Coturnix japonica: one gene and its partners. The protein of the gene in region 4 interacts with the protein of the main gene of each other region in a biochemical or structural test. Links are inferred from orthologs where the notes say so. Each region holds a gene or a part of one and is shown on either strand. Other genes may lie near its edges.

Evidence for each region.
Region 1: the proteins of MAPT (region 4) and UBE2W are reported together in a solved structure, tested with the Homo sapiens proteins (2 studies listed by BioGRID, with this or other methods). The link is inferred for Coturnix japonica from reciprocal best matches to the Homo sapiens genes MAPT and UBE2W.
Region 2: of the proteins of MAPT (region 4) and CASP6, one has a biochemical effect on the other in vitro, tested with the Homo sapiens proteins (2 studies listed by BioGRID). The link is inferred for Coturnix japonica from reciprocal best matches to the Homo sapiens genes MAPT and CASP6.
Region 3: of the proteins of MAPT (region 4) and MARK1, one has a biochemical effect on the other in vitro, tested with the Homo sapiens proteins (4 studies listed by BioGRID). The link is inferred for Coturnix japonica from reciprocal best matches to the Homo sapiens genes MAPT and MARK1.
Region 5: of the proteins of MAPT (region 4) and HTRA1, one has a biochemical effect on the other in vitro, tested with the Homo sapiens proteins (2 studies listed by BioGRID and IntAct, with this or other methods). The link is inferred for Coturnix japonica from reciprocal best matches to the Homo sapiens genes MAPT and HTRA1.
Region 6: of the proteins of MAPT (region 4) and CDK5, one has a biochemical effect on the other in vitro, tested with the Homo sapiens proteins (10 studies listed by BioGRID and IntAct, with this or other methods). The link is inferred for Coturnix japonica from reciprocal best matches to the Homo sapiens genes MAPT and CDK5.
Region 7: of the proteins of MAPT (region 4) and MAPK13, one has a biochemical effect on the other in vitro, tested with the Homo sapiens proteins (2 studies listed by BioGRID). The link is inferred for Coturnix japonica from reciprocal best matches to the Homo sapiens genes MAPT and MAPK13.

Annotation. Positions count from the first base shown.
Region 1 is NC_029517.1:106,928,341-106,931,840, forward strand, and holds part of UBE2W (ubiquitin-conjugating enzyme E2 W), read right to left. Parts: intron 3,162-3,500; coding exon 3,059-3,161; intron 735-3,058; coding exon 579-734; intron 1-578. UniProt on the Homo sapiens protein: Accepts ubiquitin from the E1 complex and catalyzes its covalent attachment to other proteins.
Region 2 is NC_029519.1:52,199,202-52,201,651, forward strand, and holds the end of CASP6 (caspase-6), read left to right. Parts: intron 1-386; coding exon 387-543; intron 544-1,161; coding exon 1,162-1,400; 3' UTR 1,401-1,950; downstream 1,951-2,450.
Region 3 is NC_029518.1:16,251,143-16,254,642, reverse strand, and holds part of MARK1 (serine/threonine-protein kinase MARK1), read left to right. Parts: intron 1-590; coding exon 591-827; intron 828-914; coding exon 915-1,034; intron 1,035-3,500. UniProt on the Homo sapiens protein: Serine/threonine-protein kinase. Involved in cell polarity and microtubule dynamics regulation. Phosphorylates DCX, MAP2 and MAP4. Phosphorylates the microtubule-associated protein MAPT/TAU.
Region 4 is NC_029542.1:2,383,630-2,387,129, forward strand, and holds part of MAPT (microtubule-associated protein tau), read right to left. Parts: coding exon 3,494-3,500; intron 1,892-3,493; coding exon 1,064-1,891; intron 1-1,063. UniProt on the Homo sapiens protein: Promotes microtubule assembly and stability, and might be involved in the establishment and maintenance of neuronal polarity.
Region 5 is NC_029521.1:27,861,002-27,865,261, reverse strand, and holds the start of HTRA1 (serine protease HTRA1), read right to left. Parts: upstream 2,801-4,260; 5' UTR 2,775-2,800; coding exon 2,318-2,774; intron 1-2,317. UniProt on the Homo sapiens protein: Serine protease with a variety of targets, including extracellular matrix proteins such as fibronectin. HTRA1-generated fibronectin fragments further induce synovial cells to up-regulate MMP1 and MMP3 production.
Region 6 is NC_029517.1:280,966-284,975, reverse strand, and holds the start of CDK5 (cyclin-dependent-like kinase 5), read right to left. Parts: upstream 2,801-4,010; 5' UTR 2,700-2,800; coding exon 2,663-2,699; intron 2,588-2,662; coding exon 2,499-2,587; intron 2,342-2,498; coding exon 2,274-2,341; intron 1,695-2,273; coding exon 1,634-1,694; intron 1,549-1,633; coding exon 1,492-1,548; intron 820-1,491; coding exon 724-819; intron 620-723; coding exon 545-619; intron 465-544; coding exon 368-464; intron 279-367; coding exon 209-278; intron 131-208; coding exon 70-130; intron 1-69. UniProt on the Homo sapiens protein: Proline-directed serine/threonine-protein kinase essential for neuronal cell cycle arrest and differentiation and may be involved in apoptotic cell death in neuronal diseases by triggering abortive cell cycle re-entry. Interacts with D1 and D3-type G1 cyclins.
Region 7 is NC_029541.1:545,164-549,283, reverse strand, and holds the start of MAPK13 (mitogen-activated protein kinase 13), read right to left. Parts: upstream 2,801-4,120; 5' UTR 1,569-2,800; coding exon 1,450-1,568; intron 1-1,449. UniProt on the Homo sapiens protein: Serine/threonine kinase which acts as an essential component of the MAP kinase signal transduction pathway.

The DNA of each region.
Region 1 (3,500 bases), on a different chromosome or scaffold from region 4:
TTTACATGTTAATATAACATAATGACTTTGTACAAGTAGAAGTATTCATTTATGCTTCTTCTCCAATAAAGTAGTACAAACAGGTTGCCATAAAAAAAGTTACAAAATATTTACTGTACTATTTAGTTTGCAGTTCTAGCTTAATACTTTCAAATAGCAGAAATACAGATCACAGTATAGTGCGGGTTGGAAGGGACCTTAAAAGATCATCGAGTCCAACCCCCGGGATTCGAGCCTCCTGTGTAGCAGAGCAGCACTTCTAACACTTGCACCACAGGGGGGGGATTCGAACCCAGGCCTCCGGTGTTGCAACGCAGCATTCCTACCACTGCGCCACTGTCACTGGCAAGTATGTAGCAGGTTTGCCTATTTTAGTATTTCAGAAACAAACAAACAAAAAAATCTTACTTTTCAAAGTAGAAAACCAATAATTTTCACTTATTCTACTCCAATGGTGCTGAAATCAGCAGGTGGAGACAACTCTGCCCATTACAAGAGGACTGGAACTAAATTATCTTTAAGATCCCTTCCAACCCAAGCCAGTGACTCTAGGAGAGAAAAAAAAAAAAACCTCATACCTTTTCTTTGCAGCTGGAAAGCATGCTAATAATGCTAAGACAAACAGATTGCACTGAGAGAGCTGGAGACCAGTCTTCTGTTAGAATGGACAAACAGATATGACCATTGCTATAAACATGTGGATGAACAGGAATATTGTCACCAGTAAACATGACCTAAAAAAAAAGAAAAAACCACCAAAATGTAATCTATTGTTCAACTTTTAAATAAAAACTATGCAGATTTTGTAAAAAAAAAAAAAATAAATAAAAAAGCAGGTTCTGACATTATCATTTACAAGAAATAACATAATATACCATATTACATTCATTCATTTTTTGAGCTGTTAGTCAAAATGTAAAATGAAATGACAAAAGCCTTGTGAAGGTGAAGTAGCACAAATGGCCAAATGCAGTTTTTTTCCTGTGAATAGTTACAAAACACAAAGAACATAAAAGCAACAGATGTAGCAAACTCTTAAATCTTGCATCTTCAGTTTTTTTAAAACATCCTATTTACATCCTACAGCTGCCTATTAGGAAGGTTAGATTCACAAATTAGTATTTCTTTGGACACAATAGGATATAAATTCTAGACAACTCAAGAAGAGTTAAACACACTAATCCTATTAACTAGAACATAAAGGACTCTTACAACCATACTGCATTATCACATTGGAAATATTTTAAATTGTTATTTAAGTGGAATTTTCTTTTAACAGAAGCAAACAACAGAGAACAGCACTGAGAATCTCAACTTCTCTCTATTAAAAAATAAAGGTTAGAAAATCAATTTTGACAATTACTGCTCTTACAATAAGTTTGACAAAAACGTAAGGTCAGCTCAGGACCAATGAAAAGGGAGTAAAAACCAAAATCCTCACAGCAGCATTATCCTCCTGAGCTCCTTATTCAACATAAGCACCGTAATCTTTTATAAAATGACATAATAAATCTCTACCACTCAAATCACAACATCTTCTTAAGATTTTCTCAGTTCAGGTACGTGTACACACACCTCACCTCATTACTGACTACCAGAAAGAAGTTTCAGCTTCATCACAAATGAGGTGAGAAAGCTCAAGCTACTTTCCAAATGGCATGCAATTTTTTTAATGACAGCAGAGAAAAGTGGATGCAGAATGATCTTTGTCTGGTATTTCTTACGCACTGAAAAGCTTACCTCTGTAACTTAGTATTTAATTTCTAACTAATGTTTCCATTATACAAGAAAACCAGGACTAGTTAAGCATGCATGCTTAACAGACAACACTCAAGGCAGAAAACAATCAAGTGATTGAACAGGAGAAACAAATTGTCAATTCAGAGGAAGTAGATTTATAGGAGAAAGAATTACAAATCAAGAGCTTTAAAGCAGAGAATTATTGTACAGCAGCATGATAAAAAATTTTAGCCACAACAAGAACTAAATATCCAGTGCTTTAATTCTTAACTGCCTTTTATGCTTGCAAGGAAATAAATACATTTGTCTTTGTGTACTGATTTAGATTGCTGTTTTACAATAATTTTTACACAGTCACATGCGCATGTTAGATAAAGAGTACAAACAGTACCCACTTGGAATCAAAACAAAGTGGGTCTTATGGATCACCTATGAGAAGCTTACTGCAAACCTGATAAAATGCAGATGGGAATGGAATGTGCCAGTTTGTTCCTTAAAACCTGAGACTGAAGAACAAGCATTTCTAGTTTTCACCTTAATCCTTACAGATACATATTTTTACAGTTTATGTGACTGCCGCAGCTCACTCCTTGCTGGAGCTTCAACAGCCATGAGAAAAGCAGAGATGACTCTTCAAACTTTGAGCTGAAACAGGGCCAGAACTAAAGCACTCTTGTTTCTTCTTTCTTTCATTTTCAGGAGAGCTGAAGGGATAACTTAACACCTGCTTTCCTCCTCCAAGCCTAACTTCTCTCAGGTAATGGACAGATGGATGTACAGAGCTCATTCCACACCCTAGTAGTAATGTTGACCCTCCAGTACTTAATGTTGCCATGAAAGCAGTAGCTCACACCTTAATTATAACCACTAGATTTGCAGACCTCTCAGAGATGCCAGGTGTTCATGAGAATTCCTACCACATGAACAGTATTTTGACAGCCATATTAACAATGGCAGTAGAGAAGGTAGAAGAGGTTAAGAAAGGACATAGAAGCTGAAGAGGAGACTAAAGAATTGTTTGTTGTTCACTCGTGTGCAGCAACAAAAGGAACCATCCTACTATTCTGTGTTGTTCTTTCATAGTGTATAAAGAAACCTCAAGAATACACCATTCTTTCATCTTCCATGAAATTAAGTGGACTGTAGTAGGCACTACATCTCACTTGTTTCAATTTATGTTAAACATATTGTGCAGGTGTGCTTTTTCTAGAGACAACTAAACCTCACCTTAGGATATACAAATGGCATTAGTATTCAGCATGTACCACACAATTATTACTTAGAGACAGAATTAAGTAGGAAGGAGGAAAGCAGATACCTGAGGCGAATCAAAAGGATATCGGCTACTGAACTTAAATAGAAGCTGAAATTTCTCCCCTTCATATAGCGTTCCTGGAGCACCTTCCATGTCTACAATCCACCTAAGAATGGAGAAACAAAATAGTATTATGGACTAAAAGATGATTATTTTACTTCTTGAGCACAGGACAAATAAAATCAACTGCCATGCAGCCAATCTTCCAAACTCTCCATTAGCAAAGCTATTACAGAAGTGAATAATGCATCAAGCCCACATTTGAAAGAAACAAGCTTGGTATTTCATATACAGACACTGCCATAGCACTGCAAATTATTATGACTTGAACTCATCACAGACTCATCAATTCCCTGTTATGTGAGACACAGCTGACATAGAAGACTTCCAAAGACTATTCTTATACAAAAATAGGCTTGGAATAAAATAGAGTAGCAGGCATTCT
Region 2 (2,450 bases), on a different chromosome or scaffold from region 4:
TATGAATACCTGGTAGGAGGAGTGGGAATGAAGAGGAAGCCAGGATCTCTTCAGTCGTGCATGGTGGGCACAAACTAACACATAGAACATCTCAACACAAGAAAACATTTCTTACTGGGTAGGTGAGCAAACACTGAAAGATGTCATGTGACCTTGGAGACAGTCAGAAGCCAAGTGGACGTAGTCCTGAACAACCTGTTATAGCTGACCCTAAGTTTTTATTGGATTTCATTACCAATATTTTAATTGATAGAGATGTGTCTTTATGAATCTACACATATGGTTAATGTAAAACATAACAGGAGTCCTCTTTGTTTAAAAGCATTGTGGTAACACAGATTAGCTTCACAGAGGTGAAAGTATAACCATCCTTCTCTCCCCAACAGGCATGTCGAGGTGATAAACATGATGATCCAGTTCTTGTCCAGGATTCAGTAGACAGCAAAGATGAAACCACTGTTAACCAGACTGAAGTGGATGCAGCTGGCGTCTATACCCTGCCGGCTGGTGCGGACTTTATTATGTGCTATTCTGTGGCACAAGGTAGAGTTCTATTTTATGTCTGTCTGTCTGATATTTCATTAGAACAAGCTTGAACGCTTCCTCATTTTGCAGTCAAAATAATGAGTACAGTTCCATGTCATCTGTTTTGCTCCCTGTTAAGTGACATCTGGGAAGGAGCCCCATATGTTAGGGGAAAAAGTAAAAACAAACGTTCAAAATTGCAGTTAATTTGCCAGACAGAATCATTCTCTTCATAATCTTGTTGCTGAGCTGTCTGCTGACAGCAATCATTCCCCTTTTCTCCAAGACTGGTATTTGAGAGGTTTATCTGTTCCCCCATACTGTGTGGCTGTACTTTCCAGTCCGTCATCTGTCTTGTCCTCAGTCCCATCTGCTGCCATGCAAATTGCAGACAGTCCTGTGGACAATAAGCTACCAGTTCCTAAACTGTGTTCCTCTTGGCTAGACATGGTAAGTGACATGAAAACCATTTCCTTCTGCTGTTTCCAGTGAAACTGCATAACTTGACATGGTAAGATTTACATCCAGTAGTAACTCCATTAGGTGAAGGTAGCAAGGAGCAACCCTCGTGAATGTTTTTCAGTGGCAGTGGCTACTTACAACTAAATATAATCGTATTTTCCTGTTCTGCAATAGGTTACTTTTCTCACCGTGAAACCATAAACGGCTCCTGGTACATTCAAGATTTGTGTGAGGCCCTCAGGAAGCACGGCTCGTCCTTGGAGTTCACAGAACTTCTTACCGTCGTTAACAGGAAAGTTTCTCATCGCAGCGTGGATATGTGCAGAGATATAAATGCTATAGGGAAAAAACAGATTCCTTGTTTTGCTTCAATGCTGACAAAAAAACTGTATTTTCATCTAAAATCTAAGTAGGTTGCTACTTACATGACATTCTTTAATTCTCGCCGCAGAAGGGAGAAAACTACCATGTTAGATCAGGAGCTGGCAGAAACACTGGGATCAAACCATCCAGTGTGTATATGCAACAGGTTCAAAAAGGCAAATTTAAAGCTAATAGTGCAGCTCTGTTCATCTCAGGGAATCTGGACAAAGTTTACTGGTGCTGGATTAATAAGAGGTGCTCAGATTTTATTGAAATTAACTTTTAAGGACAGATTTTTGCTCAATATATCTGTTTAATTATGGCACATTTTTTACTATTTCCAAATCTTTTTAAGCACTGTCTTAGGTTAGCTTCTCTTGCTCCAAGAGTACTGCTTATAGGAAGTACAAAAAAATGTCTTACAAGTGTATCTATCTATGTACAGCAGGGTCCACCACCTTATTTTTATGCATTTATTAAGGTGGATTTTCTTTTTTCCTCTCAACGCTGAAAACATACTTCATTCCTTGAGTGCAATTGTAGTTCTAATGTGCATAAAAGGCTTCTTTTGCTGGCACATAAGTGTCATTGGTGGCGCAATTAAAGCTTGTTGGTGCTTTGCATCCTCGGGGGGAAAGAAAGCAGTAGTGAAATAAAGCAGCAGGTAGCTTGCTTTGGAATAGCATGATTTGGGGTACAAACACACTCCTTGACAAGGGTAATCTCATGTGGTACACTAAATCAAGTGATTTATATGGCTTAGGCTCACGTGCCACTCTTCTACATATCTTTAGGCAGCCTTGCAATATATAACGTAAGCAAACCTTAGTACTTCACATCTTGGTGTTGGACCAGACTGTGCCTCCTCTGGGCTCCAGGAGATGAGCTGTTCACTGTCATTTTTCATACAGAACTGACAGTACATATGTCATCGTGGACCAGAGGGAATGGTTTCAAGCTGCAGCAGGGGAGATTCAGGCTGGACATTAGGAAATATTACTTCTAAGAAAGGGTGGTCAGGCACTGGAATGGACTGCCCAGGGAGGTGGTGGAGTCACCGACCCTGGGGGTATTCTCAAGGAATGACTGGATGTTGTGTT
Region 3 (3,500 bases), on a different chromosome or scaffold from region 4:
TAGTAAAGTAAACAAGTTCAGAGATGCTAAGCCAGGAGATCTGTGCTGGTCGTTTTTCTGATTGTTTCCTTCTCTGAATGAAAGGAAAGATAATCTGTTTGAAAGGGGACTCAAATGAGCACAGTATTTGATGAGAGAATTCAGTGTTAGCGATAAAGCTGACATGTGGTAATTAGGAGAATGCTGCACTTTGGCTCATGTCTGATCTGCTGAAAAAGAGATTCCTGCACTTCTTAGTTTCTGGGCAGTTGTGCTGTTGATGTCTCCATCAGGAGCCTGGCCACAGATGAGTAAACTGTGTGGTTCTCCTGCAGACACTGCATAGCACCCATGCGCTTGAGGAAATTCACTTTATTCTTCTCCTGCTGTTTTGAGAAGTCCGGGTGCTTCAATATGACACTTATCAGTTCCATTTTCCTGGGTAAATGTAGTCCATTTTCAACCTTAGTTATGTATGATGGAGGATTAGTTCCTTTCTTAATGCAAGAAAGATACAGAAGGGGAAGCAATTTTGCATTTGTTAAATGATATGCTGCGATATATTGATCTTATACATAGCTTGTCTTTCTCCTCTTTTATTTTGCTCTTAGGCAGAAAACCTTCTACTTGATTCAGATATGAACATTAAAATTGCAGACTTTGGGTTTAGTAATGAATTTACAGTTGGTAATAAACTGGACACATTTTGTGGAAGCCCACCTTATGCTGCTCCTGAACTTTTCCAAGGGAAGAAATACGATGGTCCTGAAGTGGATGTGTGGAGTCTTGGAGTGATATTGTACACACTAGTAAGCGGATCATTGCCATTTGATGGTCAGAATCTAAAGGTAGGCTTATAATATGAAATAAGGCTTTTCTTCTTTTAAGTTTTCTGTGTCATTTGTAGGTTCATCTTTTAAAAATTTATTTTAAAGGAACTGAGGGAGCGAGTACTGAGGGGGAAGTATCGTATTCCGTTCTATATGTCCACAGACTGTGAAAACCTACTTAAGAAGCTACTAGTACTGAATCCAATCAAACGAGGCAGCTTGGAAGTAAGTAATTTAACCTTTTTCATTCAAATAAATAAATAAATAAATTACAAGTGTTATCCCAGCTGAGGGAGCTGGGCTTGCTCAGCCTGGAGAAGTCTGTGGGGTGACATCATTGCAGCCTTCCAGTACCTAAAGGGAGCTTACAGACAGGAGGGGGGTCAACTATTTACAAGGGTAGATAATGGCAGAACAAGGGGTAATGGTATTAAGTTGAAGGAGGGAAGATTTAGGCTAGATATCGGGGAAGCTCTTTACCAGGAAAGTAGTGAGGTGCTGGCACAGCTGCCCAGAGAGGTTGTGGATGCCCTGTCCCTGGAGGTGTTCAAGGCCAGGTTGGATGGAGCCCTGGGCAACCTGGTCAAGTATTAGATATGGAGGTTGGCAGCCCTGCCTGTGGTGGGGGATTTGGAGCCTTGATCCTTGAGGTCCCTTCTGACCCAAGCCATTCTATGGTTTAGATCAAGGATGAAATATAGTCACTGCTTAAGGCTTCTTTTAACTTTCATGATAGTTATATCCTACTTTAGGGGACCAGAAATCTTACTGAAAATGAATAAACAACTCATTCCCCCCCACTCCCCAAAACAAAACCATAGGAAGCATCCCAGAAACAACATAGCCTGAGTACATGTTAGTGAATTGCAACTAACTGAAGACTATAATCTAAGAGCATTTCAAAGTGCAAAGTGCTCCCACTCGTTTGGATCAGATAATAAATTCAGAACATGGAGAAAGCTGGACAAGATCATAAATATCTTCAACTTCGAGGAATTCTTTGGGGAAAAAAAGAAGGAATAACAGCAGCAAGCAGTACCATAAGCATAAGTAACACCTGCTTACCATAGTTGAAAGTAGAACAGAAGATAAATACATGCTTTGAAAATAGTATTTGCATGAGTTAATCGCCAGTGACCTTTGCTTTATCTTTCTGTGCATAGCTGTGCAGCAGTGGATAGAGTTCCAGAGATGAAATCCCATTTAAGCAGCTTTATATTTGTGTTGGTGTGACTTCTGCCTCCTGCCATGGATGCTACCTGTGCAAGGAAGCATGCATTTGCTGAGCTGTGTCTGCTTCTTTCAAGCTGTTACTGTTTTGTGACTTAATATGAGTAGTTTTAACTTGAGTATAATCTGCACAGAAGAGAATAGTGAGTGATGACTTCCATTTGGGTATTCATTAATTGTGTTGGATCCATCCTCATCTAGAGGACATAGTGATAAGAGCTTAACCACCACGAGATATTGAGAGATTACTCCTCTCTCCTCACAATGTCACGATTCAGTTTTAGGAAGTACGTTTTCATTTTATAGTACTTTTCTCTGTATTTTCAGCAATTGCAGTTTCTCTTCAGATGTAATTTTACTCTCATTTTAATATCATGGCATTTTCTAGTTCTTTTAAAATTCCTTTTTGTCCTTGGAGAGTGATGTTGCATAGCAGCTTCACAGGGAGCAGCATAGTAAGCAGGTTGCATGGAAGTAAATGTTACATGGGACAGGGGTGTTTTGAGTCAGTACTAAAACAGTGATGATGTGGGGAGTAGTCAGTACACTAATGCAAGTGGGAGAGGCAGTACAAACTTACTTTAAATGTGCGGACCTAAAATTACACTTGGAGTATATATTTAGTAGTTGGTCTGGAAATAAACAGCCATTGCATTTGTGCGAGCACTTCTAAAAATACATAACTAGAATTAGAAGTACTTACTTAGGAGGAGCTTTTAAAAGGCAGAAAGATAATGTTGTCTTGGGGGAAAGTGTTTTTTCTTTGTGCTTTGTCTTAAAATTACTTGGTCAGCCCCAGCCATAGATGCACTCATGGTTCCCATGCATACTTTTCCCGGAGCATCCAATAGTGTGCTGGCCAGGGACTTAGCAGCAGAGCTGAGGCTGATACAGTATCAGCGCTGCATATGCTACCTTTACCACTCTTCCTCTGGTAAGAATCAGGTAAACTTCTACTCAGCTAGTGTGTATTGGTTGCAGACTCATTGGCAACAGAGAGGAAACACTTGAGAAGCAAGAGAATGTTTCTCTAGAACTATAAATCTTCCAGGAAGAGATGGAGAAGGGAAGCAGTTTTGGAAGATGTGTGGAACTCTGTCAGGTTTTCAAGAAATCCGTCACCTCACCACCGTTCTCAAGTTCTTTGCAAGTCAAAGCTGAAATACCCACAGCGCAGATCTATGTTTACAAGCAGTAATAAAGCACATAGTTTTGAGACAAAACAGACCTTCGGCCAGGCAGGATTTTTATTATATAGCCTTGAAATTCAATAGAAACTTTAATAATATTTATTTGGTTGAAATGCAGTTTGGGTTGGTGATAATCAGATCTTTAAATACCCTGACCTAGGCTGCTGTTCTGTAATCAGCTGACTTTCAGAGATATAATGTTGATCCTAGAATAACATTGTTTGTGTCATTTCAGAATGTTTATAAGAACCTGTTTTAAGAGTGATACAGT
Region 4 (3,500 bases):
AAGGAAATAAAGCCCACAAATGGATTAATGAAAGAAATTCCTTCTGTTGGATCAGAAACTGGGTGACCCCAAGCAAGGCATCCCCAGCCCACGGTTGGTTTCAGGCTCTGATGACAGCGACAGCAAGCCATGCTGATGCCCTGCAGTACTTATGCAAAGCTTTCTGATGCCTTGGATCCCTGGAAGCTGGGAAACGGCTCTTTCATGGAGAAAGAAAAGGTTTAAGAGCTGCTCTGCCAGCAGGGATGTCTGTGCTTTGATGGGAGGATGGAAACCTTCCCCATGGACAGCCAGAACTGAGACCTGCTGCACAAACAGCACCCAGGGCTCTGGGTGCTCACAGAGGAGGATTTCCAGCCCAGGAACACACACATACACTGTTAGATGTGCCTGAGAGTGTCCACACACACAACACCCTGCAGAACACCCAGCACAGCCATTGCATCGGAGCATCCACAGATCCAGAGCTGGGATCAAAGCATGATGCTGTGTAAGAGCTTCAGGTGTGCTCTGCAAAGGACCAACGTGGGTCCCAAGGTCTGAACTCCCTCCTCCCTCCTCTTTAGGGAAGCTGATGCAAAGAGTTATTGCACTGGACAGTGGACACATGCAAAACAAGTGGCATGTGCCCTGCTGGGACAAGCAGCATCGTGCTGGGTTAGCCCCGATCCAACATGCCACAGCATCCATCTAGAATCTGTCTCCTCTGGGAAGCTGCCAGGTGTGAGTTAAAGAGCCCAAAGATCCAAAGGAATTGAAATTAAAAGAAATCATAAAGGAAAAAAGAAAGAAAAAAAGCGTGATTGGGAACACACCAGCACCATGCAAGGGATGCAAAACCAAAGCACGGAGGTCTGACAATGATGCCAGGACATCCAAGATTAAAGGAGGGAGAGGGGGAAGCGGCGGAGCTTCGTAGATCAGTTCACAGCAAAGGTCCAGGCCATGTCCCAAGCACTGCAATTCAGGAGGAGGCAGCAAGCTGGAAGTGCTGCTTCAAGCAGCTTCATGGTGAGCAATGCACCAGCAAGGTGAGCTCCAGGCAGGCAAATGGTGCACACACCTTTCAGGAGAGGAACACGACTGACTGCTTTATCTGCAGCACCTGGTTTCTTCTTGGGCGTCCGGCACCCTCCTGCACCCAGCACCTCTTCCACTGCAGCATCTCTGTCTTCTCTCCCATCCTTTAACCCATCAGGGGGTTCAGTTGCTTCCACTAATGGTCCAGCATCCCCTCCTGCCCCTTCTGTTTGGGTCTCAGAAGGTTCTGATGAGGTGACATCTGTGTATGGTTCTTCCCCCTGCAGATGCTGTCTCTTTTCTTGGTCTTCTGCTTTACGTGCTTCAGATTCAACAAGGAATACCTCCCTCTCTGTGTCTCTGAGGACATCCCTGGACTTGCTTTCTCCTTCCTCTTTAAGAGCTTCTTTGGTTGTTTTGGGGCCTGGAGAAACGTGCTGTCCCACCAGGCCAAGCAAATCCTGCTGAGAAGCTTCATCCATATCACGGTCCACATCTCCGGTGTCCTCTTTTAGTGGGGTTCCAGTAGGAGTTGGCCCATCTGCAGTATGGGAGGCATCAGTTCCACCTGCTCCTGCCAGCCCCGTGCTGCACACATCACCCAGCTCTGGATCCACGCCGATGCCTTCTCTGCCCCCACGATCCCACAGCTCACGGCTGGCTTCAGCTGCTCTGACATCTTGGTACATATCCAGGGGGATTGGGATAGTGACCTCAATCCTGGTGGGAGCTGTGGCTGCAGCCTTTGTTTCTTGTGGCTCCCGAGGAACACCAGCTACCTGCTCCATGGGCTGGCTGCCCCTTTGAACCACATCTCCCATATGCTCCTTATGGCCAGGCTGCAACTTTGGAGAGCTGGGCTCCCCTGGAGCTGAAGATGAAGTGTATGAAGCGTGGGCAGACAGTGAGTACAAGCACAGAGAGGTGGTCAATCACACAGTGCAGAAGGGAAACTCAGGGTTTGTACTATCAATATGAGAATTCAGCAGACAAAGAATGGGTTTTAAAGGAACTCTGACCTCCATGGGAACTGGAAAGAGGGTCAGGCAAAGGTGGGAAGGCCAAAGTGTTGCCTGGACCCCATATCAGAGGTGGCTGAAGGGTCCCTGTGTGTCACACCTGCATTGCCAGGCATTGGCTTTGGAGGTATTCAGGAATACATCCAGCTTCCCATCCACCTCCACATCATTTCTGGTTCTTATGAGCCCAGGGAGCAGCACTCCCCTGTCTGCTCCCATATTGCCATGTCCTTAACAGCAGCCAGGCAGAGCCCTGGTAGGAAGGACTGTAAGTAAACTATGGCTGTAACTACACAACCACAGCAGCTCTGGACTGTGTGCCCACTCAGCCTAATTAGTGCTCCAGCACTGCTGCCATCATTTGGGCACAGGGGAAAGAAAGAGTGACATTTAAAACCCAAAACACACAGTCACACAGACACGGATCTTTTGTTGTTTTAGGGTAAAAGAGGCAATTCATTTCCCCATATCTGACAGCTGAAAGATCCCAGGCCAAGGCAGAAAACCATCATTAAAGATCTGGGGAGAAACAGCAGCTGGAAGCAGACTGGAAAAGACAGACAGGAGGGATAACACACTCCATCCCGCTAACAACCTCGGTTTCCCTTTTAGTAGCATCACTATTTTGAATGCAGAAGAGCTGCTAGCCTGAGAACCACCATCAAATGCTTGATGTTCATTGCAGGGAGCAGCGTGTGTCACTGTGCTGAGTGTGAAAAGCAAAGACCTCGATTCACTCTGAGCTGAGAAAGCAAAGAGCTGCACAGACAGGGATGACTGTACACAGCAGCCGTGAGGAGGAGAGACACTGCACAACCCCAACAGAAAACCACCTTACTAAATGGGCTTTTAATTGCCCTTATAACTAACACACAAAACTGGTGCTGTCACGAGACACTGCACAACCCCAACAGAAAACCACCTTACTAAATGGGCTTTTAATTGCCCTTATAACTAACACACAAAACTGCTGCTGTCACTTACAGATGTGAGCGAGACAGCTGTGTTACAATGACTGCCCACCCTGCCTGGCTTTGTCAGACACTCCTGAGATGCAAAGAGAGCCCACCCTAAATGAGACATGGTACATAGAGTCAGATAGCTCAGTCCTTTCATGTGGGACATGCAGGGTTCCAAAGTGACCTGCAACATTGAGCAGCACCTCCTGGCAAACTACACCATCCTGGCTCTGTTTATTTATGACCTTTTGTAGCCCGGAGGATGCTCTGTTTTGCCACTGGGCAAACAAGCATCAGCCATCTGAGAGAGAAACTGATGAATGAGGAGCTGCCTGAAATGAGCGTGTTGGGGACATTCAAAGTGTGTGTGACCCTCCTGCCAGCAACAGGGAGAGCTGTACAACCACCCAGTTGCATTACAAAAGTAAACTCCCAATCCCCCCCCATCCCCCCCAGGAGCAGCAACCAGACCCCAGTGACAGAAGCCCGACCAACCTTGAGC
Region 5 (4,260 bases), on a different chromosome or scaffold from region 4:
CCCCAGAATGCTGAGTCTCCCTTCCTGCCCTGATTACTCATCACTGCACATCACAACGCTGCCAGAGTGCTTGGCCCAACCAGCACTGCAGGCAGATTTTAAGCAGCTGCTACTACTTTTCCCCCATTCTTTGCTGCGTGGATTTCATTCTAAGCTTGTTCTGTTGTTAAGGGCTCAATTAATGAAATTCTAATGACGTTAGTCACAAAAGGTCAGAGGAAAGTTGGGAGCCGAGAGCATCCAAGAGGAACTCTGCTGTTCCTCTTGGTTAAAGGTCAGAAAAGGAACTGGGTTCATCTGTGTGCAGCTCCCAGAGCAGGACATAGAGTAACACAATCATTGAATCCTTAGGAGTCGGAAGGGACCTCTCACTGCCATCTGGCCCAACACGCCTGCAATGCACAGGAACACCAAAGGCTCCTATCAGGTTGCTGAGGACCCGATCCAGCCTCACCTTGGTAGTCTCCAAGGATGGAACCACGTATCTGAGCAATCTGTTTCAGGTTCACTACCCTCACTGTAAGAGATTTTTGGAAAAGACTTTAAAATCAAGCCCAATCATCAACCTATCACCACCAAGCCCACTGTCCAAGAGGAATGAACAACTGAACCATAGAATCACCGAATGCCTTCGGTTGGAAGGGACCTTAAAGATCACTGGGCTCCAACCCCTACTGTGGTTCAGTGCCCCCCAGCTCAAGCTGCCCAGGGCCCATCCATGGCTTCGGCCACCTCCAGGGATGGGTACCCACAGCTCTGCACAGCAGCACCAGCGCCTCACTGCTCTTATTACTGCAAAAAAACCCCAAATCTTTTACCTTACATCAGCTTCAAATCTCCACCTGTTACTATGAACCGACAGAAATATTTTATCAAAGATAACGCCACTCTGGAAAACGGGCAAGAGGAGGTGTTCGAGGCCAGGTTAGATGAGGCCCTGGGCAACCTGATCTAGTATTAAATGTGGAGGTTGGTGGCCCTGCCTATGGTGGATTTGTGATGCTTGAGGTCCCTTTTAACTGTCCCCACAGCAGCAGCCAGGCTGGGTCAGTTCACCTCTAGCATCCTTCATGCAGAACAGAGGGGATGCCCACAGCTCACAGCCTAAATTCTGCCCACAGAATTTACTATCTACACCGCAGAACAAGGTGTAAAACAATGCTATCAGTCTAATGAATTGAGAATCGCCGGGGGGGAGAGGGGGAAGGAGAACAACATCACGAGGCATTTTGTTACACTGCAGGTCAGGAAACTGTAGCGTGAAAGCTGTGATTGTGTCGGGCATTAAATGCCAGCTATGTTTCCAGGAGCACAATGCAGCTCTTACACAGAGGGGGGGCAGCGAGATGGAAAATGGGTGGTATGGATGGAGACATTGGGAGCTGGAAGCTGTACAGCAGGACTGGGCCATTCTCCCTGTCCTGCTGGAGGATGGGAAGGTGGAGAAAAGATTACAGCTGCTGCTAAACGAACTGGCTCAACCCATACCCTGAGGGTCAGTCCGAAGGGAAAAGGAGCTACTCAGACCCTTCTGCCACTCAGAAATAGGCTTTAACTCCTGTTAATTAACGAGCACGTTTGCACCGAGTGTCTCGGAATGAAGGCGCAGCTGTAGTTGAACAGATTTAATCCGATGGGTGTTAGGAAGACAACCTGCAGGCTCAACCTGCACCGAGCAAAGTGGGAGCAAAGCCTCAGCGGTACGTAACAGAATACAGCAATGCCGAAGGAAAACCACGCCACTTGTTGCTGCTGGAGATGCTGTTGCTTCTGGACGGTGCTCCAGAAGCACTGAAGTCAGCCTCAGTGCTGTTGGGATCCAAGTTCGGATCCTGTCCAGCAATCCTATTATTAATGAGGAGCGCTTTGCTAAATCGGGCACAGGCGGACAGTGCAGCCACTGCCTGCGCTCAGCCCTAACGGCGGCTGCATTCCTGGCTCCATTTCCCATGGCATTACACGGACACAGCGCTCGGATGGAAGCGCACTCAGGATTTCACAGCATCGCTGGAGTTGGAACTGCCCCTTAAAGGCCATTAGGTCCAACTACCCCTCAATGAACAGAGACACACACAGGTGCTCACTGCCCCGTTCTCTGACCTCGGGTGCTCGCAGGGACGGCCCCCCACGGCATCCCTTTTGGAGGCAAAGGAAAGCAGGGCACAACGGCCGATTTTCCGAGCGGGACGGCGGATTCTTTCCCTCTGACACTTGGCAGCCTCGGAGCGCCGCATTCTTGCTCCGCTTTCTCACCGCGCTCCAACCCCGACCCGAGCCAAGGTCCTCCCCCCTGGCTCCACGCACCCTCGCCCCTTACCCTGCCCGCAGGCTCCGCGCTGGATGGCGATGATGGGCGGCTGCCGGAGCCTCTCTGCGCGGCGGCTGGCGGCCCGCAGCTGGCAGGGGCTGGCGTAGGTCACGGCGTCGCTCCCGCACACGGGCTCGGAGCTGGCGCACACGCATCGCCCGACGGCCGCCCGCTTCCTCACCGTGCCCGAAGCGGGCACCCCTCCGCCGGGCGGCACCGAGCAGCGCAGCCCTTCCCCGCACTGCGGGCCGCCCTCGCTGCCCCCGCACGGCTCTCCCTCCTCCGCCCCGCACACGCGGCAGCAGCCGCACGAGTCCAGCACGGGACCGCCGGGACAGGAGGAGGGAACCGGGGGGCAGCGGGAGCGATCGCAGCGTTCGGGGCAGGCGGGCGGCGGGGGGGCGGCGAGCAGCAGAGCTGGCAGCAGGGAGAGCAGCAGAGCGCTAAGACACCACGGCGGCAGCATCGCGGCGGTGGCGACGGAGAGAGGCGGCGGAGCGGGATTTAAGCGGCGGAACGAGGGCGGCGCGGGGGGCGGAGCGGCCAAGGGGACAGCCCAGGGGTGTCGAGACCCCTCCGGTCGGGGTTTAGTGGATGGAGGGGGATGTGCGTTATTTGGGTGTTAGGAAGGATTCAATGGGGAATGAGCGGGCAGCCCTGGGAGTGCGGGATGTGCCGCCCCACCAGGAGCAGCGATGTGGCACTGAGAGACATGGTGGGCGGGCACGGAGGGGTCGGACTTGGGGGTCTGAGATGTCTTTACAGCCTTCATGGCTCTGTGCTCGTAGCCCCCCCGTTTACACCCTCGTATTACAAATACCACCGCAAAACACGGGGGGGGAAGGGACGGGTGGATGGACGATGCTTACCGGACTGCCCGGTTATCCGAGGGCACAGAAGCACCGTCTGCTGCGCTGCAATCAGAGCCGCTCACAGCTGTCCTGCGCTCCCTACGTGGCAACAAAAGAGGTTTCAGGAGGAATTATTGCAGAAACGACCACAAATAATAATATGCCACAATGCACAAACGCCCCGACCTGCATCGTTAAAGTTGTTGTCAATTATAAAGAATGGTTTGAAAATGTCCACGCATTGATTTTTCTTCAAAATTACATATATAGGAGTTGGACTCAGCGATCCTTGATAAGACTCTTCCAAATAGGGATCTTCTATGATACGTAGCATAGATATTATAGCAACATTTCTCCCAGCTGTTGCTTATGTATCCATTACTTATCGGCTGCTTTTGACCAGCTCCCAATTTGATATAAAGACAAGCTCTGAGATGAGCACTTATCAGCACAAATATGTAAGAAATTCAAGTGTGGAGTGACCGCATCAGCTCCGATCTGCCCCAGCAGTGCATTCCTCGAGCCGCCCCACCCAGACATCGTGCATGGCATCGCCTATGCCAGATAACTCACAGTGGCTCTTTGAAGCCTCAGCTGCTGCAGGACCGACAGGGTTACGGTGTGAGAGCTCTTCCATCTCCTGCTCTTCCAAAGGAGCACCTGGGTTCCAGAGCTGGGCTTTGCTGATGGCTGGGTTAGTAGCAGGAATGCGGTGCAGGGAGTGGGTTGGATTCTTAACAGGTGTGCTCACAGATATGCAGAATTACAGTGCTGATGGACGTTTCAAATGCAAAGGCCTTAATTAAAAAGTCAAAAGTATCACTTTGCAGAGCAGAATACCACTGCTGCTCCATTAATTACCTTTACCAACGAGTTCCAGTTGCTTTCTTATATTTTCCTCCCAGAGAGGCAGCACAGCAAAGCCAAAGCAAAAATCCAGGGCAGACATTTGGAACACGATTCAGCTCCAGAGCAGCCCTCATTACTTCAGTGGAACATCCCCAAAGTGATGCAGCCACTCACTGGCATCAGAGCTGCACTGACTGTGCTCCAAAGCACAGCTGGGAATGACAAGGCTACAAGCATCTGATAGCACTGAAA
Region 6 (4,010 bases), on a different chromosome or scaffold from region 4:
TGGGGGCAGCTGTGAGCAACGGGCCCCACGCCGCCCCCCCCCGCCCCACCGTGCCCCCCAACCCCTCACCTTGTAGTCGGGCAGCTTGGCCATGGCCGGCCACTGCTCCTCCGTGGGGGTGCCCAGCAGCGTGCGGGGCTGTCAAGGGCCACGGGGAGCTGCGGGACTCTGCCCTCACCCCCCCACACCAACAGCACCCAAAGGATATCGGAAGATCCTCTTCAGCTGGTCGTCCACGTCGTTCCCTGGGAAGAGCGGCCGCCCCGCGTTGGCCAGCTCTGCACAGGGATGGATGGGGTGAGCCCCGATGGGGTGAGCCCCGATGGCCGCCCCAGGCGTCCCACAGCCCCCCCGGCCCCACAGCTACCTGCAAAGATGCATCCAGCCGACCACATGTCGATGGAGGTGGAGTAGAGCTTGGCACCAAACAGCACGTCCGGGGGTCGGTACCACAGCGTGACAACCTGCGTGGGGCACAGGGGATGCTCGGGAGGAGCGGGCAATGCCGGGACCCCCATGTGCATCCCAGCAGCCCCCTCCTCACCTCTGCTGAGTAGCAGCGCACCGGGATGCCAAAGGCCCGTGCCAGGCCAAAGTCTGCCAGCTTCAGCTCCCCGTTCTGCAGAGAGAGAAAGGGGTCAGGGGCTGAGGGAGCACCCAGCGGACCCCAAGGGGCACAGGGGGGGGGTAACATGGTGCCCCTGCCCCCAGCCCAGCACTCACCCTGTTAATGAGCAGGTTCTGCGGCTTCAGGTCCCTGTGCAGGACGTTGCGGCTGTGGCAGAACGCGAGGCCCTTCAGCAGCTGGTACATGAAGGACTGTGGGAGAGCACAGCCCACAGTCAGCACAGCACCACTGCCAGCACCAGCCACAGCGACAGCAGCACAGCAACACAGAACAGGCTGGAAGGGACCCCAAGGATCACAAAGCTCCAACCCCCCCCCACAGGCAGGGCCACCAACCTCCACATTGATACCAGCCCAGGCTGCCCAGGGCCCCATCCAACCTGGCCTTCAACACCTCCAGGGATGGACGGGGCATCCACAGCCTCTGGGCAGCTGTTCCAGCACCTCCCCACTCTCACAGTACACAACTTCCCCCTGACATCCACCCTCAATCCGCCCTCCTTCAGCTTAAATCCATTTCCCCTTGTCCTGTCACTGCCTTCCCTTGTGAAAGGTCGATTCCCCTCCTGTTTCTAATCCCCTTTAAACACTGTCAGGCTGCACTGAGCTCACCCCGCAGCCTTCCCTTCTCTTCTCCATGCTGAACAAGCCCAGCTCCCTCAGCCTGTCTTTGTCGTGGAGGTGCTGCAGCCTCTGAGCATCTTTGTGGCCTCCTCTGGACCCTCTCCAACAGCTCCCTGTCTTTCCTGTATTGGGGGCCCCAGCTCTGGACGCAGCACTGCAGATGGGGCCTCAGAGGGCAGAGCAGAGAGGGATGTGGCCACACACACACACACACACACACACACACACACACACACACACCTTCACGATCTCAGGGTCCAGATCCCCGTTGCAGCTGTCGAAGTATTTCTTGAGGTCCTGCAGGGGGCGGTGCTGCCATCAGGGCACGGACGGGGTTGGGTTTATGGGGGGGGGGTGTCATTAGGGCCGGATCCGCGCTCACCTGGTCGCAGAACTCAAAGACCAGAGTCAGCTTCTTGTCGCTGTGCAGCACGTCGTGCAGCCTGGGGGGGCGGCACCAAAGGGTCGGTACCGGGCGGGGAGCACCAACAGCAGCACATAGAGCACATAGAGCACATAGAGCACATAGAGCACACAGAGCACATAGAGCACATAGAGCACATAGAGCACATAGAGCACACACAGCACATAGAGCACATAGAGCACATAGAGCACATACAGCACATAGAGCACATAGAGCACATAGAGCACATAGAGCACATAGCACATAGAGCCCATACAGCACATAGAGCACATAGAGCACACACAGCACATAGAGCACATAGAGCACATAGAGCACAATAGAGCACGATAGAGCACATAGAGCAACATAGAGCACATAGACGCACATAGAAGCACACACAGCACATTAGAGGCAAACATTTAGAGCACACAGAGCAACATAGAGCAGCACAGAGCAACATAGAGCAGCACAGAGCACATAGAGCCACAACAGCACATAGAGCAACAATAGAGGCACACCTAGAGCCACATAGGAGCACACACAGCACATAGAGCACATAGAGCACATAGAGCACACACAGCACATAGCACACACAGCCCATATCACACACCGGACTCACCTGACGATGTTCTTGTGCTTGAGCTCCTTGAGCAGGCAGATCTCCCGCAGTGCAGAGCTGGGCACCCCCTGCACGGCGGCACCGCACGGCTCGGACCGGCCCCGAGCAGCCCCGTGTGCACCGGGCACAACCGGACCGGGCACAACCGGACCGAGCCGAACCGAACCGAACTGAACCGACCCGACCCGGCCCGTCGCTGATCCCGGTGCCGATCCCGGCCCTCACCTCGTCGTCATCGTCCAGCCGCACCCGCTTCAGCGCCACGATCTCGTGCGTCTCCCGGTTCTTGGCCTTGAACACGGTTCCGTACGTACCTACGGACGGACGGCTCAGCCCAGCGGCCCCACACCGGACCCGCCCCGCCCCGCCCCGGTCCGGTCCCGTCGCACCTTCCCCGATCTTCTCCAGTTTCTCGTATTTCTGCATGGTCCCGTTCGGTCCCCTTCGGTTCCGTCCCGTTCGGTTCCGCTCCGGTCCCGGTGCCGGCCCCGCCCCCGCCCTCGTATCCCCGCCCCTTCCGCCGCCCCTCCCGGCAGCCCCTCCACTTCCGTCCCGCCTCCCGGAAGTACCGGCTCTTCCGCCACGCCGCCGAGCGGCCCCGCCCCCTTTAGCCCCGCCCCTTTTGTCCCCGCCCCCCGCTCCTTGTGCCGCGGGTTCGATCCCCGCCGCCGCCGGGCGGTTCCGGGTGCGGTTCCGGGTTCGGTGTCCGCTCCCGGCTGCGCTTCCGGCTCCCGGCCCGCCCGCTCCGCCCGGAGTCCCGGTAAGAGCCGCTCGGTCGGTGCCGCCGCTCCGCGGGCACAACACGGCGCACAGCGCACGGCGGGGCGGCACCGGGCAGCGGGTACCGGGCAGCGCTTCCGCGCTTTGCGGGCACCGGGGGCGCCCCCCCGCCCTGATCCCACGTTCCCGCTCGGTGCCCGGCCCCGTTACAGCGGCGGGTGGGGCCGGGGGCGGCGCTGCGGACACGGCACCGCTACCGACACCGGCCGCCCCGCCCGGACCGGGCCGTGCCCCGCAACCCGCCCCGCTGCCGCCCGGACCCCCCCCGCCGCCCCCCCCCGCCCGTAGGAGTGGCCGGGAGCAGCCCCGGGGCTGCAGCGCCGCGGGGATGGAACAAAGCGCCGCGCCACGATCCGCCGCCCCGAGCCCGAGAGCGCCGCTATAACGGCCCCGGGGCGAACGGGCACGGACGGAGCGGCGGGACGCGGCGGTGGAAGCGCCGGACGGAACGGGGCCATGGGGTGAGTGGGGCCGGGCCCAGGGGCCGCTCCCGTGGGGCCGCTCCCGTGTCCCCGTGGGGCCGCTCGGTCCCGCGGTGGCGCAGCGCGGCTCCGTGATTCATTTCCTGCCCCCGACGGCTCCGGGGTCACGGCGGGGCGGCACCGGGAGTTTGGGCCGCGGGTTCCGAAGTTGCGGCTCGAACCCGCCGGGATGAAACCGGGGGCGGCCCCGCCCCCCGAACCGCGGTTACGGACACGGGACGGGGCGGCGGCGGCACCGGGACCGAGCGGAACCGCGGCTGAACGGGGGGGGAGGAGGGATGGAGGGATGGAGGGATGGAGGGATGGAGGATGGATGAGCTCCGTGCCTGCGCCTGGCGGGCAGATGTGGGGCAGCTGTGGGGCAGCTGTGGGGCTCTCGGCCGCTCCCAGCCTCCTGGCACCGATGTGTGCAACACAACAGCGTGAGCCTGGGGCGTGTGTGCGGTGCTGGAGAGACGGACGGTGCTCACGGGGG
Region 7 (4,120 bases), on a different chromosome or scaffold from region 4:
CCCAGAGGTAACTCATGTGACACAGCTGGGCGAGCCCACGGTGTTCTTCCCAGCAAAGATTAAGGAGCAGCTGAAGCTCAGGATGACACCAAGGCCAACCTCGAGGTGAGGTCATGAAGGTTCTATGGGTAATTGTGGCACGTCGCACCCATAGGACAGGGCTGGGGGCATCAGAAAACTTCCCCAGTTACCAAGTCACTGCTGAATTAATGGGGAAAGAAACAGGCCCGTGCTGACCTCCTGCAATTTGTTTCTCAGCCCCTCTTGGTTGTTCAAAGATGTGCAAAAGCTGTTGGCTCCAAATAACACTGTGATAGAAAAGCTTCCCAGTGGTTCCCAGCAGAGGACAGCAAATCCCAACTGCACAGCATTCCTCCTGTGCTGTGTACAGGAACCAGCACAATCCCACCTTGCCAAGCACCATCCATCCCATAACAAAGCCCCCGTCCCCCTCAGTCCGCTCTAACCCATCCCTTCCTGAGCAGCTGAGACTCCCACAGTATGGGCTGGTTTGGGTACTGGTGTTTTGCTAGTCGAGAAAACTTTGGAGGGATTTTTCTTGCTTTTTTCTGTGTAGATATGAAAACATCAAGTTTAGCATTATGGGGCTCACAGAAGCATCCCAGGACCCCACCCTGCATACACTCAGCGAAGTGGGGAAGGAAAACTCTGGTCCCCATTCACATCCTGCAGTGCAGACAGAGCCCCAGTAAAGGCAGGGAGTTTGGGGATTCCTCTGGGACAGCAGGAGATGCTTTGCCCAACATCCAGGAAAGAGGACACACTTCTTCCCTCTTCTTTTCACCCTGTTATGCTGTGAGGTTCTGCTTGGGTACTGACAATGGGCTGCAATGGATTTGCCCTCACTAAGAGTCACCAGCACCCTCACACCCACCAGTGTAAACAAAGTGAGATCTGACTCTTCTGCTCGCTTTCCCTGTAGGTACCTTTGTCCAAGTAACTGATTAACAGCAGCTCTGCTGCTCCCTGGTTCCGGGAAGTCCCGGGAAGTCCCAGATGGCTGCTGCCTCACAACACAGAGCTGGACACAGTGCTCTGGCTGTACCACCCAGCTCCATTCCCCCATGAGACAGCATCAGCTGCTACAGCTCTGCCCAGAGCTCAGTGTTTGTTTCAGCAGTGCCCAACTCTTCAGCTCTCAGATATTCAGGCATTTCCCTCTTCCTGCCAACCACATCCATCCCCCAAGCTCTGACCCGAGGACATCCCCACCTGCAGGACACCCTCAGGGCTGAGCCAGACACGACTCTCCCTGCTGCCTGTCGGGGTGACCGCAGGAGGCACAGGGCCATTCTTCAAGCAGCCCTTCAGGGTGACCGAGCAACATACAAACTACCTTCATCGCACACACAAAGACCCTCATCAGACCAGAGGGTGCTGAGGCACCTCTCACCATCAGCCCTCGCTGCTCCCCCAGGCCCCACTCACCAGACAGAACCGTAGGCCCCAGAGCCCACAGGGTGCAGGGACGTGTACCTCCTGGGCAGCTCCCAGATGGTTCTGTTCAGCTCCTGTCTGTAGAAGCCTCTTCTCCTTGCGATGTTCATCGCCCGGTGGCTGCGGGACTGCCACCCACCCAGGGTCCCGGCGGCTGGCGGCGCCCCTGGGGTGCAACCGGGATGCCCTGCGCTGCTGAGAAGGGCTACAGTGAGCTGCCTTGTCTGCTTTCAGCTGTTGTGAGCAAGAAGGGACATGTCTCACAGCCCTCCTCCCTCCGCCTCCACATGGCGGAGATGAGGCATCAGGTTTCCAGACACGCCTTGGCTGTGTGCAGGTATTTCTGGGTGCTCCGATAGACGCCACAACGCAGACACACCTGCAGCTGCATGTGGGACTGCGAGAAGAGACGCCCCACAAGTGCCACATGGGGCTGACGGGGGTCTCGTGAGATCGCCGATGGGGTGAGTAAGGGCGCATCAGGAAACCGAGGTCACACCTGGTCACCGTGCCACAGTGCCGAGTCAGCCCTGCAGGGACCTGCTGGGAGAGGAGAGCTCCAGGACAGACACTGGGGTGTTACATTCACCGAAGAGCAAGAGAGCAGCCAGAATTTCCTCCACAGTTTCCCAGCACACGGCGCAGAGAAGGCTGTCTGAGCTTCCCTTCATCTACGAGACTGCAGTGAGATGCTCAGGAGTTGCTCTGAGATGGGATCATCCTGGGAGCTGCAGGTGTTGGGGTCTGAGGGGTCCGGCCTCGTTTCTGCAGCAGTCAGTCCCGCCGCGCAGCGCCCAGCCCACCCTGCTGAGCACAGACCTCACACTCTGATTTGACTTCAGTGGAGCTCCGAGGGTTTACCCTCCCTCTGGAGGAAGTGACTAAGCTCTGCCTGAGGAGCCACGCTCTGCCAACACTCAGCTTTGCTCCATCCTCTGCCCTACAGGTGGGACTTACAGAAATGCACTACTGCAGTTTTAGGGAGGTTTCCTTTTATCTGCTTACATGCAACCACCACACCATGCTTTAAAATTGGCACAGGTGTTCTCCAGGTAGCAGTGGTAGGGCCTGCAGTTCTATAAAGCACATCAGGGTCTGCGTGCTGGCAGCATTTCAGTTTTACTTATGCACACACGTACAAACCAACCCTGGCTCTAGCAACAGCATAGTAAGGAAACAAAGCAGAATGGGCTGGGTTCTATAAATACATCCGTGAGCAAGAGGAGTTACAGCCAGAAGTGCTGCGGCAGAAACAAATGTAACTCATCTGTCACCTGGTGAGCACGGAGAATTGTTGCTCAACTGCACGCACGTGGCTGCCAGCACCTGTCCAGGAGCTGTGAGTATCTGGGGCACAGCTATTGGAAGAGGAGTTAATTTAAGATTTCCTGTTTTCTTTGAATTAGTCTAAGTCACTTTTCCCTAATTTCTCACCGATTTTAGTGTCGTTTGCTAACTAACATAAACTGCAACCAAACACAACTCAGGAATGTGGAAGGTTTGGGATTCTTCTCCCCAGAAAAACTGACAAATTCCATCCAGGATTCTTTCTGACCATTTGATTCTTTCTCTCCATTTGCACCACAGCAAACACCTTTCTCTTTCCCTGTGTGCCTCTTCAAACCAACCTCCGTGCAGTGCTGCAGGGGGAGCAGCACAAGCTGCAGCTCCATCACAGCCAGCACTGCAGCTTCTGTTGGTGTGATGAACGCAGCTCTATTCAGTTACCCCTGATTGCCCTTCTGACTGAACAGTGCTGGACAAACAGCAGTCAGAAAACCACCATTATGGCAAGTCACAACGCCTGCTCCCACCACCGACTGGATGGCAGCTGGAGACAGAAACCCACCCATTTCTAAGCAGCAGACAGCTGCAAATCTCTGCTACCAGGGAAAAGTCCCAGGTCAAGGCAAGGAGCAGAATGCTCATTTATTGTGTACACTATATACACAGCCTACACGTACTTTCACTGTACAGCAGTCATGCAGACTCCAGGCCAGGTTTGTACCTGGGGGGGGGGGGAGGCAAATGGGCATGGGCCTGCAGTTGGGCCGCACTGCACACCCCTCCACCACGCGGGATTCTGTACGACGAGAGAGGAATTCATCTCACATCAAAATCACACCTTTAGCCAAAGGGGTCAGAAGAACCATCAGCACAGCAGATCTGAAAAATAGGTTTTATTTTTAACCAGTGGTATTGTGACATCTTATCCGGCATAACCAACTTCAACAAAACTCACGGATAGAAAGAAAATAGCAGATCTGTTCTTTGAAGTGCATCCTCCTGTTCAGGCTGCAGGCAGCTGAACAGCACCGCACTGCAGGCAGGAGCTCCCTCAAGCAGGGCTGTGAATGAAAGCTTCCCACTCGCACACAGATGCACAATGTCTATATTAATAAAAATCTTGAGCAGTATTTCCGCATGGAATCACACTTGTAGCATCTACACATAAAATGGCTGATAAAAATCATCCTGCTGTAGGTTTACAGAGTCTATCTACATTTATTTTTTTTTTTCCGTTTGAATACTCGGACTGCTTGTCCAGCAGGGAGGTTTTGTCGCTATTTTGTTGGTCTGAACTGAGCGTTATCACAGAGCACGAAGTCCCTCTTCACCTCACCCCAGCCTTCAGTTTGACCTGAAGAGATCACTGGAAAGT